2 linked regions of the Pelodiscus sinensis genome follow. The protein of the gene in region 1 binds, or shares a complex with, the protein of each later gene. Links are inferred from orthologs where the notes say so. Each region holds a gene or a part of one and is shown in the gene's direction. Other genes may lie near its edges.

Region 1 (8,052 bases):
CGCTACTTCGTTTACATAAAAATGGCTGCCGCACTGTGCCAATCAGCTGTTTGTCGGCACAGCGCAGTGGCCATTTTTATGTAAATGAAGCGGCGATTATTTAAATCGCCGCTTCATTTCCCTTTGCCGAGTAAACTCGTCTACCTGGCTCCGTCGATGAAGCCATGTAGTCTAGATACACCCTGAATGACTAAGGAAAGAAGCAGGAAAAGTCTACCTTCTGCTTCTAACTGGACAAAGGGCCACATATCGCCAGATTTTTAAAAGGGTGCCAGTCAAGACTACCTGGTCTACAATGTCAAAGGAACACTTACCAAAAAGAATTCTTTTGCATTTTACCAAGTGTAGGCTGTGATGGAGATACAATCTGAGTTTCCCACACCTGGTCAAATCAGGTACAAAAGGCGGCATACGCCGTGACTCTACATCTTTTATGGTAATTTACCCCATGTTAAGTCAATGTCAATTCAGAAATACACTCTCACTGCACAGGTGTAAATGTTCACACAATATGCAAGGCAGCAGCAAATCAGTTCCTACATGCCAGAGAGTACAATCTCACACACACACACTCTCCCCTCATCCCCCCCCAAGGGATTATGAAAAGAAAGCCTTCAGACACATGCCTTCAGTTTCTGAACTTTGCCAGCAGGAGGAGCAGGCATATATTAAGCCACCATCCTGCAGTACAAACTACAAAAGGAGAAGGTCACAGAAGACACAGCTTTTCAACATGGCTAGATGCAGAAATTCACTTGCCCTCAACACATTATAAACCACTTTAGGGAGTGTGCATGCAGGTCTCTTAATTGGCTGAATATTCTTTAATCCTCTCATTGGATAAGCAAAGGTGGCCTGGGCAACGAGCAGCAGACTGCAATATTCCACAGAAAGTGCTTTACAGGAAAGAGTAGAAAGGAACATCTGCCTTTTAAACAAACATGTAGGATATAATGGGTCATTGCTATAGTATTTTATACCTCAGCCCAGCTGTACTTTGCAGGTCCGCCTCCCTCCAAAGTCCTCAAGGTGTGTTTAACCCCAAGAGTGTTAGTGGCAAAGCAAACACCAGTAGCCTTTGAAAGCTATGCCAACAGCAAAGATAATCTAAATGTAACTAAGAAATGTAATGCATATGTCAGAGGGCAGGTTATACATATGTCTGCAGTTTCACAACAAAGCAGCACAATGGGCAGTCTGCTTTAGGATATACCCCACACACACATTTTTGGAGGGGGTTGGCATCACACTTCTTTACTCCTCAAAGAAGTAACTTAGCCAGTCAGAACCTCATGCAGAATCCCTGAACCTGTTGCTTCATATGGTTCACTACTAGTGACCCTGCCAGAGTGCTCCCGAACAATGAACTTAAGAGGCTCATCTACAATTGATATTGCATCCTACAACCTCCAATAACAGTCCAAAGCCACAAAGATCTGGGGAGTGCCACTTACTGATAGTAGTAGGAGACCTGGAGAATGGGAGAGCGTGAAAACTTCTTGGCGTGAGATGTAACCACACACTTCTAGGAGCATAAAGAACTCCAGTATTTGCAAAAGGAGATATTTATGTGGAAGACCCAATTCAATTTAGCACCAAAGAGTACGGTTTGGTATTAGAACCTATAAAACACTTAAGATTAGAGGTGCTGGAAATGGGGAATTCCACCCAATAAGGTAGCAAAAAATCACCCTAATAAAAATGTGCCAAGATTAATACCTTACTGACTCTGCTTCTTAAAACACAACACACAAATCTTTTAAACAGCCCGTTGTGGGTTGGCAGGCAAATACACTCAGGAAAACAAAGGACATGCAACGTTCTGCATAAAGTGTTCTCAAATGTAGCAGTCTATATGGTTCACAGAAAACAACAATACTTAAATTTCATAGGATCAAAGTCATTAGAGACATAAGAGATGTATTAGATCATTAAGCCCATCACACAGCCAGGGTAGGCTGTACACACAGGACACCTCTAATGTTAAAAGTAACACTATGGCAAGAGCACAGTGCTGTTTTCTTGATGAAGATGCACATGAGGAGTTCTTATTCACACAGCGCATAGTCAATCTGTGGGACTCCTTGCCTGAGGCGGTTGTGAAGGTTAGGACTATAACAAGGTTTAAAAGAGAACTAGATAAATTCATGGAGGTTAAGTCCATAAATGGCTATTAGCCAGTATGGATAAGGAATGGTGTCCCTAGCCTCTGTTTGTCAGAGGGTGGAGATGGATGGCAGGAGAGAGATTGTTTGATCATTACCTGTTCGATTCACTCCCTCTGGGACACCTGGCTTTGGCCACTGTTGGCAGACAGGGTACTAGGCTGGATGGACCTTTGATTTGACCCAGTATGGCCATTCTTATGTTATGATGCAGCAGCTGAGAATTAACTCAAAGTTGCTGTCAAATTCAGTTTTGTCTTCCTTAAAATTACCACAACTTATAGGCAAAGCCTGGACTTACCTGTAGTGTTGCCACTCTGCCACGAAAACCCAGTACCTCCCCTCTCACTCTCCCTCCCTACTTTCTGCCTGCAAATACACTTCACAGTTCTGCGAGAGAATTTCTGTAGAGCCCCAGTCCTAAAAAGGTATCAAATCACAATCTCTAAATTCACCACAGACACAAAATCAAAGGAGAAAAATATACAATAAACATGCAAACAGTTCTCATTGGCCTAAGAATCTATGGCTGGCAGCAGTTCGCATTGATGCCAAGTCAATTCATTCTGTTCCGTTATCTTATTGAAGATAATTATTGTTCCTGGGATTGCAAAATAATAGTCTGTTTGTTAGTGCTTAGAATTGTAAAACCACTTATAAACAATCCCAAAACCCATTTGTTATAATGGAAGTATTTGCTCTTCTACAGTTCAGATTCAGTCCAGAGTTTGTGTGTATTGGGTCAATAATCCATGTATTTAAAAAAGAGTCACGAAAGATGTATTAACATAAGCTGAGCATTAAGACAATTATTTATATGCTGGGCAGTAATGGGACCACACTATGCTTTGTATTAAATCTCAGATAACTTCAGAAAATTACCACTTCAAATAAAGAAAATTAGCATAATGTTAATGTTGTAACACAAGTGAGCAGTAAAAATGATCAATATTCATACTGATTCTCTATCCCACAACCTTCCTACCCAAAACAGAAGAATGTGCCCTCAAAGCAGGTAGCAACTATACCTGCTTGCATTCTCTAAGCACAACAAAAACACATTACCAAAAGCCTCTTAAGTTTTGGTGTACACAGCGTGATCGTTTTTCACCTTGTCTACCCAGCCCTGCAACTCCTTCTCAGTGGGGCATGACCCTTTCTTTCCCTGTCCTTTTCCCTAGATATTGCAGATGCTTCCTAACAGTGCATGATGGAGTTCTATTGCCTAGGCACAAGGAAATGGGCCAAGAATGGTGTGTGCCAGTGTTAAATTAGAACGTTCTTGCTTTGGCCACACATTGTCTTTTAAATTTATATTAACAACATGAGTCACATTAACATCTGTCCCTTATAGGGCCATTTTCAAGTTTAATTGGCTCTAATTTAGATTATGTAAAAGTGAACTCTCTTACTGAACTAAAATAATTATAACTCTCCCTATTTTGTTTCCCTTTTAATTAAAACGGTTGTTTTGAACCAGTAAATATCCCCCTCCAGGATTAAAAATTCACCACTAACAACATGGAAGTGAAAATGACAATAAACAAGAGTAAAACAATCCACACTGATTTGCTTCAGTCAAGCTGAGAGAAGGATAAACTGTACACAGTGACAAGTAACTTGGATTTTTTAAATAATTTCTAATTTAAAACTTTTACATATTATTAGTAACCACTAACCCCATTTGCTTGCTATCAACAATTGATGTCCGCTTTAAAATTGGCAGAATATATGCCTTTTTTATACAAATGCCTCCACAATTATTTGTAGGTGACCAAATTCAGAAACTTCACATTTAATACAAAAATTATTGAAATGTAAAGTAGCACATCAGACTTCCCTCTCTGCAACAGTAGGGTGCCCTGGGGCACACCTCCGGTTACCTTTGGGATGGTTACTTCCTCTTGAAAGATCTGTATTTGTACAGAATAAGGGTTTTGGGGGGCATCAAATATCAGCTCTATAAAATCTGGCTTGGATAGAGACTCCTTCCCTTAGGAAACGAAAGCACGGTATTAATAAAGTCTTAGGCAGCATTGTGAAACCAGGCTGGATTAATTTCCAAGGGCAGTTTTTGTGTGGCTGTCTGTGTTTTTTAAGTCTCTCCACGTTGCACTCTGTGGGGTTTGTTGTTTGGTTGGTTGCGGGGTTTTTGTTTTTAATTCTTAGCGTGTCATCACTGTTTGCAAGCCGCCTTGGGAGCATCTCTTCGCAAATCACTCCCGAGCCCTAGGGACAAAGGCATCCCACAGCGAGCGGTACCCAGAAACACCCCGCGTCTTGTCCTACCTCTCCCCGCCCTGAAACAGCAGAGGCTGGTGAATCCCCTGAAGGACCCAGGAGAAGCCCCTCTCCAGCTCTCCCTCGCCTCCCTGCTGCCCCACCACCAGGCGCACAACTTGGTGCCGAGCTGCAGCCACCAGTTGCACTTTCCACTCATGCACAAACCCAAGCACTAGCTGGGGAGGGGGACCTTACTTCTTCTCAGTCCCTTTACTAAAGCCCGAGCAACAAGTGTCCGCCCGCTGCGGAGAGCGCACGAGAAGCATAAGAAAGGAAGAGCGATACCTGACACTGCGCCGCTGCCGCAGCTGCCGCCAGCCTCTGGGCTCCGCTGCTCCAGCTACTGCGGAGGCTGCTGAACACTCCGAGAGCGCCAGCTGCCACTCAGCGCCGCAGCCGCGCACGCGAATCGCGAACGCTCCCCGAACGAGACTATCTTGGGCCAAGGGAGACGCCGTCGAGTTGGGACGTACCATCCCGAAGCCGGGGAGCTGAACGCGCTAGGCCGTAGGTCGGCCGCTATCATCTCCGGTGGCACTGTTGCGTCCTGGGTACGGAACACCCCCCCACCAAATAGGGAGGAGTGGTATCGCCGGCAGAAGGACAAGTCTGCTGCAGTTGGAGTGCACTTCCCGGACGCGGCGCGCGGCCTGCTGAGGTAACGGGACAGCGATAGACCCAACCACCAGCTCCGCGGGCTCCCTCCCCTGAGGGGCCCCACTACCCGGGGCCCTCAACCTGCTTGGGAACGACCCGCGCTCTGGCCTTAGAGACACCCCCGGGACTGGCGTCCCCCCGGTCTCTGGCTTCGCGCGCGCCACAACGGTCTTCCCGGGAGCCTCGAGTGTCCGGCTGCTGCGCGCGCGAGCTCCCGGCGCGTGGCGAGATGGCCCCTGGCCAGCGCAGCGTGGGTGCGTGTGAGCGCGCGGCTCCCGCGAGCCCAGGGCCCGTGAGGAAGCGGTGCGGAGTTCAGGGACCCGGGGGGGGGGTCTCGCTGAAAATCCTGAAACCCGGCGCCGCCTCTTGTGCCTGCTCTGACTGGAGATGCAACTGGCTAACAGCTGCCTGGCACGCTCCCTCCCCCCTCCTTTCCCCCGCCGCCGCGGGCTTGGCTTGGCCCGGCCCGGCCCGGCTGGGCTGGAGCAGTGGGTGGGGGCTGCTCGTGCCCTTCTTGGCAGGGGGAATCCGGGCTAATCGGTTAAATGTGACATCTGACCGGTTAGCTGATTTAAATGGGATTTTACATCCCTACTCTGAACAAACCAGCCAGGAGCAGCTGCCTCCCCTCCCCGCCTTGCCTGCAAAACGCTGCTTGGATATGGCACTTGATCCACTCAGCTACTGCCCCCTTGTTTCTCAACTTCTAATCCAGGTTGGACTGACAGGGCAGCCTGTAGCACATAGGTGCCTATGCTCTGCTTAAACAAGTCAAAGATCTTACCTAGGTGACCCAAGAGTCCTACCTACATGGGTCTCTTAGCAAGTTTACCATTCACTATTGGAGGGAAAGGCTCTAGCAATGGAGAGCTGCCCAAGCCTTTCACTGTGCTGTGTAGGTGCATACAAACGAGGAATGAGAGTGCACCCTGCCTTCCACCACCATAACTACTTAGGTCTGTAATGCCTGTTCTCTATTCACTCTAAGTGTGGGCAAAGCATCAGAGGATTTTGTTAAAATTGTTTGAACTGAAACTTGCCATAGCCTTTAACTATCGGTGTCTGAACTGAAAGACTAATGCATAGATGCTCTTATATGAGGTTAACAATCCAGGAGTGTGAATAAAATAAACAGGACTGTTTATACTTGGGTGCCTGAACTGACCCTTTCAGCTGTGTTGTACTCTTGAAATTCCCACCTCCCTTTTGCCCAGTGTGAAAAACTTACGTAATGATATTTTACAGATACATCAAATGCATTCCAAGATGTAAATGTAAGTGGTAACCATGTTATTTGGTTAATGTTTTGACAGTCACTGCAAGAAAATGATTATTCCCGTCAGATGCTTCACTTGTGGCAAAATAGTTGGAAATAAGTGGGAAGCATATCTTGGCCTTCTCCAAGCAGAATATACAGAAGGGTAAGTATTTCTTTATGGTCCTTGGCCCTGATCTTGCAAACAGTTACTGAGACTTGGTCTATGCTAGGGAAGTAGAGTGACATAAGGTGTCTTATGTTGACCTAACTGTCTTTGTCTACACTGCAGTGATGCTTCTGCTGCTGTAAATCACCCACTACATCAACTTAATAACTCCATGTTTGTGAGAGACATGGTGCTTAGGTAGCACCGTATCTGTGTAGACACTGGAGACCAAGCCCCAGTGCTAACAGCCTGAGCTGTCATGTCAGTCAGGCACCATTTTGATGCTACCCCACACTTCCTGCACATTCAGCTGGGCACCGGGCTCATACCTTGAGCCTCCTGCCCTGGTATTGACAGTCAGAGCTGGAGAGGGCATGAAATAACAGCAGCCATAAAACGGACAAGAATGTCCATTTCACTACTGGTAAGCTTTCTGCTATGAAATTGACCTCAAGCCCCAGGAATACAGGTGCCACTCAATTCTGCTGTCGGTGCCCCACTGGTAGGAAGAAGGTAGCATGATCAGTGATATCAGATTTAATTGCTGTGGTGGCTGTAGGTTGACCTAATTTTGTAGACAGGCCCTCAGTGCTTATGCATTGACTTTATTGGGGTAGCGCCTAAATTTATGTATAAGCGACAAGGAGTCCTGTGGCACCTTATCAACTAACAGATGTATTGGAGCATAAGCTTTCGCGGGCTAAGACCCACTTCCTCAGATGCATGCGGTAGAAATTTCCAGAGGCAGGTATAAATATGCAGGCCAGAATAAGACTAGAGATAACGAGGTTAATTCAGTCAAGGAGCGTGAGGCCCACTTCTAGCAGCTGATGTGGTGTTCACATCTCCACATCAACTGCTAGAAGTGGGCCTCACGCTCCTTGACTGAATTAACCTCGTTATCTCTAGTCTTATTCTGGCCTGCATATTTATACCTGCCTCTGGAAATTTCTACCGCATGCATCTGAGGAAGTGGGTCTTTGCCCACGAAAGCTTATGCTCCAATACATCTGTTAGTTGATAAGGTGCCACAGGACTCCTCGTCGCTTTTGCAGATCCAGATTAACATGGCTACCTCTCTGATACAGTTATGTATGTAACTATTCACAGGGTTTAGTTTGCTTTTCCCTGTCTCCTAAATATAGGACTTTTTACTAGCTCTACATCTTGTCTGTAAAGTGAACAAGGGCACCAAATGCTTGATTTTTTTTTGATTTTTTTTCATCTTTTTTTTTTTTTTTTTACCCCCCAGGGATACTGGGCACTCACATCTTATGAAAGTTAGTAAGTGTTCAACAATTTAGAAAAAACTACCCTGTCTGCCCTGAAGGGAGAGCTAACATGGAGACTTCACCATAAAGCCTACACCACATTCCTTCAACCACACAGATAGGGGGGAAAAAGCTGTTGCCATCCCACTCTGTTGCCTCTGATACAGAGGCAGCAGTACGGAGTGGTAGGGGGCTCACTGGCTGTCTCCCCCCTGGAGACTATGGAATAGTCAAATAGCCAATAAGAATTCA
Region 2 (7,459 bases), on another chromosome or scaffold:
TAACAGTGACGGAAAACACCGCTATTCCCCTATCCTTTGTCATTCTTTTGTCTTCAGTGACAAGAACAAGAAAGACAAGGTAGGTGAGGTAATATCTTTAATTGAATGAACTTCTGTTTGTGAAGGATAGAAGCTTTTGAGCTTCACAGATCTCTTCTACAAGCAGAAAAACAAGTGATTACTCTAGAACAGATCTGTCTCCAACCCAAAAGTTTAGTTAGCATTCTGCCTGTTTTCACCACAGGGTTTAGGGCTATTAACTACTGGAATTTAGGACAAACATGGTAGTATGATTTGACAACACTCACTTTTGCAAAATTATGTAAGGTCCTAACAAGAGAATTCCAGAATCACTAGAATGATGCAGGAAGCAAGAAGTTTTAGTCCCAGACAATTTTATAGCTATAAGCATCCTGATGTCACGAAGAGGAACAACCAGACACATTAAAATGCCATGCAAAGGGAAAAATTGATCTTATGTGCTTTTTACTTATTTAAAACATGTTAATGAAATCCAAAAGATTATTTTTATTTTTGCTTCATCCCCATTCCTCCTTCATATTATAAGATCAGGCCTTATCTAACCTTGGAGACGCTACAACAGCCCCCCCTTCCTCCCTCCCCCCCCAAAAAAAATTAGTGGAACAGCAGACAAGAGGCAACAGAGTGAAAGCTGAGCAACTGAGAGAGAAAGTGATTTTTAGTCAGGATGCTTAGGACTGGATACTTGTGTTGCCTTTATTAAGTACTATTTAATGCCAAACATCTAGTCAACATTTCAGAAAAAGAGTCTCTACTCAAAGCAACTGTAGCCAGACAGGAACCCTCCCTGTAACATCCATTTTTGCTTGTCTGGAGCATACAGGGCACACAGAGCAGAAGGCCCAGGCTGTGTGACCGTGAATGGCTGTAAACAAAGATACGCCAATTGCTGACCAAGAGGCTGCCAAGGAGTGCCCTTGACTTAACCCATATTGATACGAACACACAGCCGTCCGCGGGGGGGGGGGGGGGGGGGGAAGGAATCTCTCGCCCAGTAAAAAAAATGTCTAGTACTCACAATTTAGTTATCTCTCTTGCAAGTGTAAATTAACTTGAAACTTGCTTGTAAGAACTGGCGCCACAATACGGACCAGTACAATTTGGCCTCTTAGATAAGAAAGAGGATATGGGCCCCCAGGGATATAAAGATGGGTCCAGCAGCACATTTACTCTGAGTGTCAATCTACCATCTATCTGCTGGTCGGGTTAGGTGTTTGATCTCCCAAGGTTCTACAGGAACGCCCACCTCGTATTCGTCTTTCCTAGGAATTGAGAGACCGGCCCTGGCCTGACATGCTTAAGTGGAGAGGCACAGAAGGGGGTAAAAATTGTACCTGGATGTGGTCCTTTGTCGTAAATGTACACATAGATTTAGAGCTCTTTAAAGATTAAGCTGTCACTTAGTACCATTATTTCTATTTTCTATCTTTATTTTCTTTGTAACTATTTTTAAAATCTGTATTTGCTAACAGTTAAGAAAGAGAGCAATAGCCATTGTAACCATATGGTTTTATAAGTCTTTTTAATAAACCTGTAACTGTTTAAGTTTTTAACCTGACTCCTTCAGTTGCTGTAACAAAACCAAGCACAATTTAAAAGAACTTCAGCCAGTCATAAGGAACAGGTATAGGAAGAGCTTGGGCGTTTGGATTTGTGTCACTCCCAGGTGACAGGTCCGTTGGGGCACCTCTCAGTCTTTTCCTAAGGCTGCCCGCTGCGAAGGAATCTTGCATTCTAGCAGCTAAAATCTAAGGTGTAATAAGCTCTTTCTATAAAGGGGCATCTGTTGGCCTGCTGGCTACCCTCTGCGACGGGACCCCGGTCCTAGCAGTAAAGACACGGACATTAAACCTTTTCTCGAAAACACACACACACATACTGCCCTGACTGTCGGCTGACAGCAACTGAACATGCCTTTGTTAAAAGGTTGAGTGTAGAACAACCCGGATTTCTTTCTAGAACCATTTTACCTATCACCAAGGGCCAAAACAAGGGCACAAGCCATGTCTCCCTTTGTATTCCCCCAAACCCAGAATCCTCCCCCCCCCCCCCGTAGCTTCCTGAGCGTAGACCCCCCCAACATAAGAATGATTATACAGGGTCAGACAGATTGCCCATCTATCTCCCTTTCCTCCATCCCGACAGCAGCCAGTACCAGGTGCTTCAGAGGGAATTAACAAACAAACAGTGATCCATTTCCTGTCCTCCAATTCCAGCTTCTGGCAGTCAGAGATTTAGGGATACCCTGTGAATGGAACTGCATCCTTCTTGATAACAGCCACTGATATATCTGTTATCCATGAATTTATCGAATTCTTTTTTAACCCACTTATATTTTTGGTTTTCACAAGATCCTTAGAAAGGAATTCCACAGGTTGACTGTGCATAGTTTGAAGAAACACTTTCTTATGCTGGTTTTAAACTTGCTGCTTATTAAATCATCAGGTGACCCCTAGTTGTGTTACCCAAAGGCATAAATAAAACTTTCTTATCAAGTTTCTCCACCTCGTTCATAATTTTATATCTCCCCTTGGCTGTGTTTTTTCTAAACTGAACAGTCTCAGGTTTTTTTGTCTCTCTCCTCAGAATCTGTTCCATTGTCTTAATCATTTTTTACTCTCCTCTGTATTTTTTGCAAATTGAATATATCTTTGAGTTGGGGCAAACAGAACTGCACATAATGTTCAAGGGATGGGTGCACCATGGATTTATAAAGGGATACTGTTATATTTTGTGTTTTTTTAACTAACCTTTCCCTAATGGTTTATAACATTGTTAGTTTTTTTTTTTTTACTCTATCTACACATTGGGCAGATGTTTTCAGAAAGCTATCCATGATGACTACAAGATCTTTTTCTTGAAAAGTGAAAGCTAATTTAGACCTTAATATTTTTTATATATACAGGTAGTTTGGATTATGTTTTCCAATGTGAATAATATTGTATTTATTAACATTTAATTTCATCTGCCATTTTTGTTGCACAGTCACCCAGTTTTATGAAATGTCTTTGAGACTCTTTGATGCCTTTGAGACCCTTCACAGTCATCTTTGGACTAAATTATCTTTTGTAATTTTTTTTAATCTGCAAATTTTGCCACATCATCTTTCACTTCCTTTTCCAGATCATTGCTGAATATGAGCAGTCATAGTAGAGATATTTGGTGTGGGAAGGGCTATTGCTCTCTTTCTTCTTATCCCTTGGCTAGAACATAAGAATGGCTATAAGAACTGGGTCAGACCAAAGGTCCATCTAGCCCAGTATCCTGCCTTCCAACAGAGGTCAATGACAGATGCCCAACAGGGAGTGAACAGAACAGAGAATCATCAAGCAATCCCTCTCCTATTACCCATTACCAGCCTCTGACAGAGGCTAGGGACATGATTCCTACCCATCCTGGGTAATAGCCATTGATGGACCTAACCTCCATGAGTTTATCTAGTTCTTTCTTGAACCATGTTAAAGTCCTGGTCTTCACAACTTCCTCTGACAAGCAGTTCCACAGGCCAACCATGTGCTGTGTGAAGAAAAAACAGTTCCTATCTTTTAACTAGTTACTGTTTTCAAAAGAGAATCTACCTCATATCCCATGACTGCTTACTTTGCTTAAGAGACTTTGGTAAGATACCTTGTCAAGGTTTTAATAAAAGTCCAAGTATGCTATATCCATTGGATCATCCTGCCATCTGATACTCTCAAAGAATGCTAAGTCATTGGTAAAGTATGATACCCTTTTCCAACAGCCATGTTTACTCTCTACATACCATGTGCTTCTGTGTGTTGAATAATTACTTTTTTGTTCTAACCAGTTTGCCTGAACTTGGGCCCCAGCCTGTAACTGATAAGACCCCGCAGGAGCCCCCTGCAAAAACTTCATTTAACATCTCCACAACAGCCTTGTCTTCCTTGAGTGCTTCTATGACACCTTGATCACCCAGCCAAAGGGCTCCGCTGGGCAGGTTTCCCACTGCTGCTGCAGCGTGTTTTAGTTTGCTGTTTGTTAGTTTTACTCTTCTCTAGTTGCTCTTCAAATTCATTTTGGGTCAGACTCGTTATAAGCTGCTGCCCCCCCCCCTCCCCACACACACACACGCTGCTGCTCCCCGCATTGGACACTTACCCTGCCCCACCTGCAGCCCAGCTTCCCTTCAAGCAGCCCAGAGCCCGCACCCTATGAAGCTCCCGTGCCCCCCCCCCCCCGCCGCTACCCCAGCACAGGGGCTCCCAGAGCGTCGCTCCCCACACGTGGATGGGCCAATACCCCCCCCCCATTACCTGCCCCGCTCCCAGGCCGCTGCCTCTCTCTCCCGTCTCCCGACAGCTGTCAACTACGCCCCCGTGTGTCGTCACCACGCAAGACGGGCCTGAGCCAATCGCCGTTTAGCGCGAGGCCGGAAGGGAGCCGCGGCGCCCGCGCGTGCGCACTCTCGCTTCGGTTCTCGCCTGGGGGCTCGCGCGGTTGCTGGGCTGGGAGCCGCTCGCTGCGTCGTGAGGGGGCGGCCGCGGGTAGGTGGGGGCGCGCGAAGGGAGGGTATCGGGCCTCACGCGCTGCCGCCCCCCCCCCGGCCTTGGCGCAGCCCCATCGGCTTCACCTGCTCCCCCCCCCCCCCGCGCAGCCGCCCTGTGCCTGCCCCGATAGACCCGCAGCCGGGGGCTAGTCTGCGGGGAGCAGCAGTGTGTGTGCGGGCGGGGGGGGGGTCTGTTGGTGCGCACGAGGGGTTCCCTGGTGCTCTCCGGTGCTGGGTGTCGGGTGCTGCATTACGCTGCAGTGATTGCCCGTTGCGATATAGACACTGTAATGAGTGAGACTGTATAGTTTAGATGTGTGTGAAACGTGCGCTACGTGTTACACTATGTGCTTGAAAAGCTAAAAGAAACCGCTTTGCGGGGGTCTATATACAACTCAAACTGCTAAAATAAACCCCTACATGAAGTGAGTCTCACACACCCTTAAAAACTAGAAGCCCTGCTTATCGTGAGACTCACTTGTCTATTTCTTTGTATAACTTATTTGCATAATTTCTGTAGTTCTTCACAAGATAGAAGATTGTATTACTAATTAGTATGTTTATTTCATTACTGAAGCAAAATGCAGGACAATGTAGCACTTTAAAGACTAACAAGATGGTTTATTAGATGATAATAAACCATCTTGTTAGTCTTTAAAGTGCTACATTGTCCTGCATTTTGCTTCAGCTACCCCAGACTAACACGGCTACATTTCTATCACTATTTCATTACTGTAATGCATGAAACAGTCTCCCCTCATCTGTTAAATGTGACACACTCTTCTATAAAAGTAAGATTATCATGTAGGCTAGGATTTATGATGTAAGCTTTTGTTTATATGTTCATGTAATTTTCACTAATCTTACAGTGATTTAAAAGTATACATGCCAAATTTGAATGGCCACTTTGGTCAACAAAAAATCAGTTATTTTTTTCTCTTTTCAGTTTCTCTCTGCCTACAAGCATAATTCAAAGCAAGATCTATTTTCTGCCACATTTGGGCTTTCTAAGTGTGTTGGAGAAGATGGTTAATGTCTTGAAGGGTGTTCTTATAGAATGGTTAGTACTTCTGTCTTCAGTTGAAATTCAGCTTTTCTTAATTGTATAGTTCCTCAAACATCCTAGCCACTTCACAGAACATGTAGAAGCTTTGCTTCCTTCAGTGTCTCTCCTGTGCCTCTTGCACTGAACAGAAGTCTTAGGCAAATTCTGCTTAGACCAGTATGCAACTGTTTGCAATTTATAATCTAGATAGCCCCAAAACAGCTGGCGTGCGAGCTGCCTGAGCAGCAGGGACTGTTGCACCCCAACAACACCATCCTGAAAGGAGGGGGGAGGGCACGGGGAGTCCCAGGAAAGTGAAGCTCTGTCCCCTCGGGAGGAGTTGTCAGCACAGCATTGTCATCCTTTTAAGCCTCATAATCTCTTCCAGCTTCCTCCTGAGTTCTGCACCCTTTGCCTCCTGCCCTGACTCCTGCTCCCTCACCTCCCTACCCTGAGCCCCCCCCATCTGACTCTGTGCCCTGAGTCCACCCCTCCTGCCTTCACTCTATCACCTTCTGCCCTGAGCTGCCCTCACAAACCTTCCATGCCCACACATCTTAACCCCTACCCTTTACCAAGAGTCCCCCATATCTCTGCCCTGACTCCAGCCCAGCAACCTTATACTCCAACCCTAATGCCCCACACCAAACCCTGTGCTCTCAGCCCCCCACCTCCTGCCTTCCCGGCGGGCTGGTTCTCCCTCATTTCCCCTCCTGATTTTCCCCAGCCAGCCCCCCTGCACCGCCCTCCAGCTCTGCTTCCTGCCAGCCCGTTCCTTTTCCTGATCTCCCCCGACCAGTGCCGCTGCACCCCCCCCCCCACCAGCTCTGCTTCCCGCCCCCCCACCAGCCTCGTGGTCCCCCAGCTTTGCTTCCCGCCAACCCACGATCAGGTGTCCGGTTTTTGGGGAGGGGTGTCTACTTGGTAACCCTACCGGAACCAGCAGCAGCATCCACGTGCTAGGGGGAGGGAGGGTTGGGTGAGGTGCTGGAGGGAAGGAGAGGGACTGGTTGCGTGCTGACTGGGGCAGGGGCGGACTGGTCAGGCGGGCTTTCTGCTGAAGGGCCGGCTGGCGGCGGCCCCAGTGCTGGCCAGGGCACTCTGTGGGGCCGAGGGAGAGCCTGTGTTTATACACCGTGGAACAGTTGAGAGGGGAGAAGCCCCGGCATCTTCCCTCTCAGCTGGTTTGAGCTTTTTAATTTTTGTAATAAACACCAAAATTCCAATGATATTTTTAATAAAATCAAAACTGAAAACAAAGGACCTTGGCTTTGTTTATATAGCTAAAATCAGACAAGAACTAGAATATGTAAACCAATGATATTAAACTGTAACTGTCCATAAACTCACATTATACATGTTTTACTAAAAACATACAATAATGTTAGTCTTTAAAGTGCTACATAGTCCTGTTCTTTGTTTCATAATACCAATGTAATCATTATTCTCTGCAAGTTAGGCTACCAATTTTCTTCCTCTTGGGCCCTTCTAGCTAGTCACAGTTTAATTTGTAAAATGTCCCAACAGGGTCACTTTTGCTTAAAGGCTTTCCTAAAAGTTATTCTTGTAAAAAGATGGATGTAGGCAACAAACAAATCTTGAGATTGAGGTTATACGGGAAGAAGTTTTTAAGTTCCATCATTCCAAAATTGTTTTACTTAATACTGTGTTGCTGTATTTTGTCGCTGCCAATAATATGGATTCTGGTGCATGTTTGTCTACAGTGACCCAGCCATGAAGCAGTTCCTACTATACCTGGATGAGTCAAATGCCCTGGGAAAGAAATTCATCATACAAGACCTAGATGAAACGCATGTTTTTGTGTTGGCTGAGTTGGTTAACTTCCTCCAGGAGAAAGTGGGCGA

The links.
Region 2: POLR2L (region 1) and GTF2H5 share a complex: the UniProt entries of both Homo sapiens proteins name them as parts of the TBP-based Pol II pre-initiation complex. The link is inferred for Pelodiscus sinensis from reciprocal best matches to the Homo sapiens genes POLR2L and GTF2H5.

Annotation. Positions count from the first base shown.
Region 1 is NC_134714.1:119,981,358-119,989,409, forward strand, and holds the start of POLR2L (DNA-directed RNA polymerases I, II, and III subunit RPABC5), read left to right. Parts: upstream 1-4,972; 5' UTR 4,973-5,106; intron 5,107-5,216; exon of another isoform or gene 5,217-5,359; intron 5,360-6,418; 5' UTR 6,419-6,431; coding exon 6,432-6,526; intron 6,527-8,052. Other genes in the region: TSPAN4 (tetraspanin-4), read right to left, coding at 4,734-4,924. UniProt on the Homo sapiens protein: DNA-dependent RNA polymerase catalyzes the transcription of DNA into RNA using the four ribonucleoside triphosphates as substrates.
Region 2 is NC_134713.1:112,364,446-112,371,904, forward strand, and holds the start of GTF2H5 (general transcription factor IIH subunit 5), read left to right. Parts: upstream 1-4,415; 5' UTR 4,416-4,547; intron 4,548-5,495; 5' UTR 5,496-5,574; coding exon 5,575-5,609; intron 5,610-7,318; coding exon 7,319-7,459. UniProt on the Homo sapiens protein: Component of the general transcription and DNA repair factor IIH (TFIIH) core complex, which is involved in general and transcription-coupled nucleotide excision repair (NER) of damaged DNA and, when complexed to CAK, in RNA transcription by RNA polymerase II.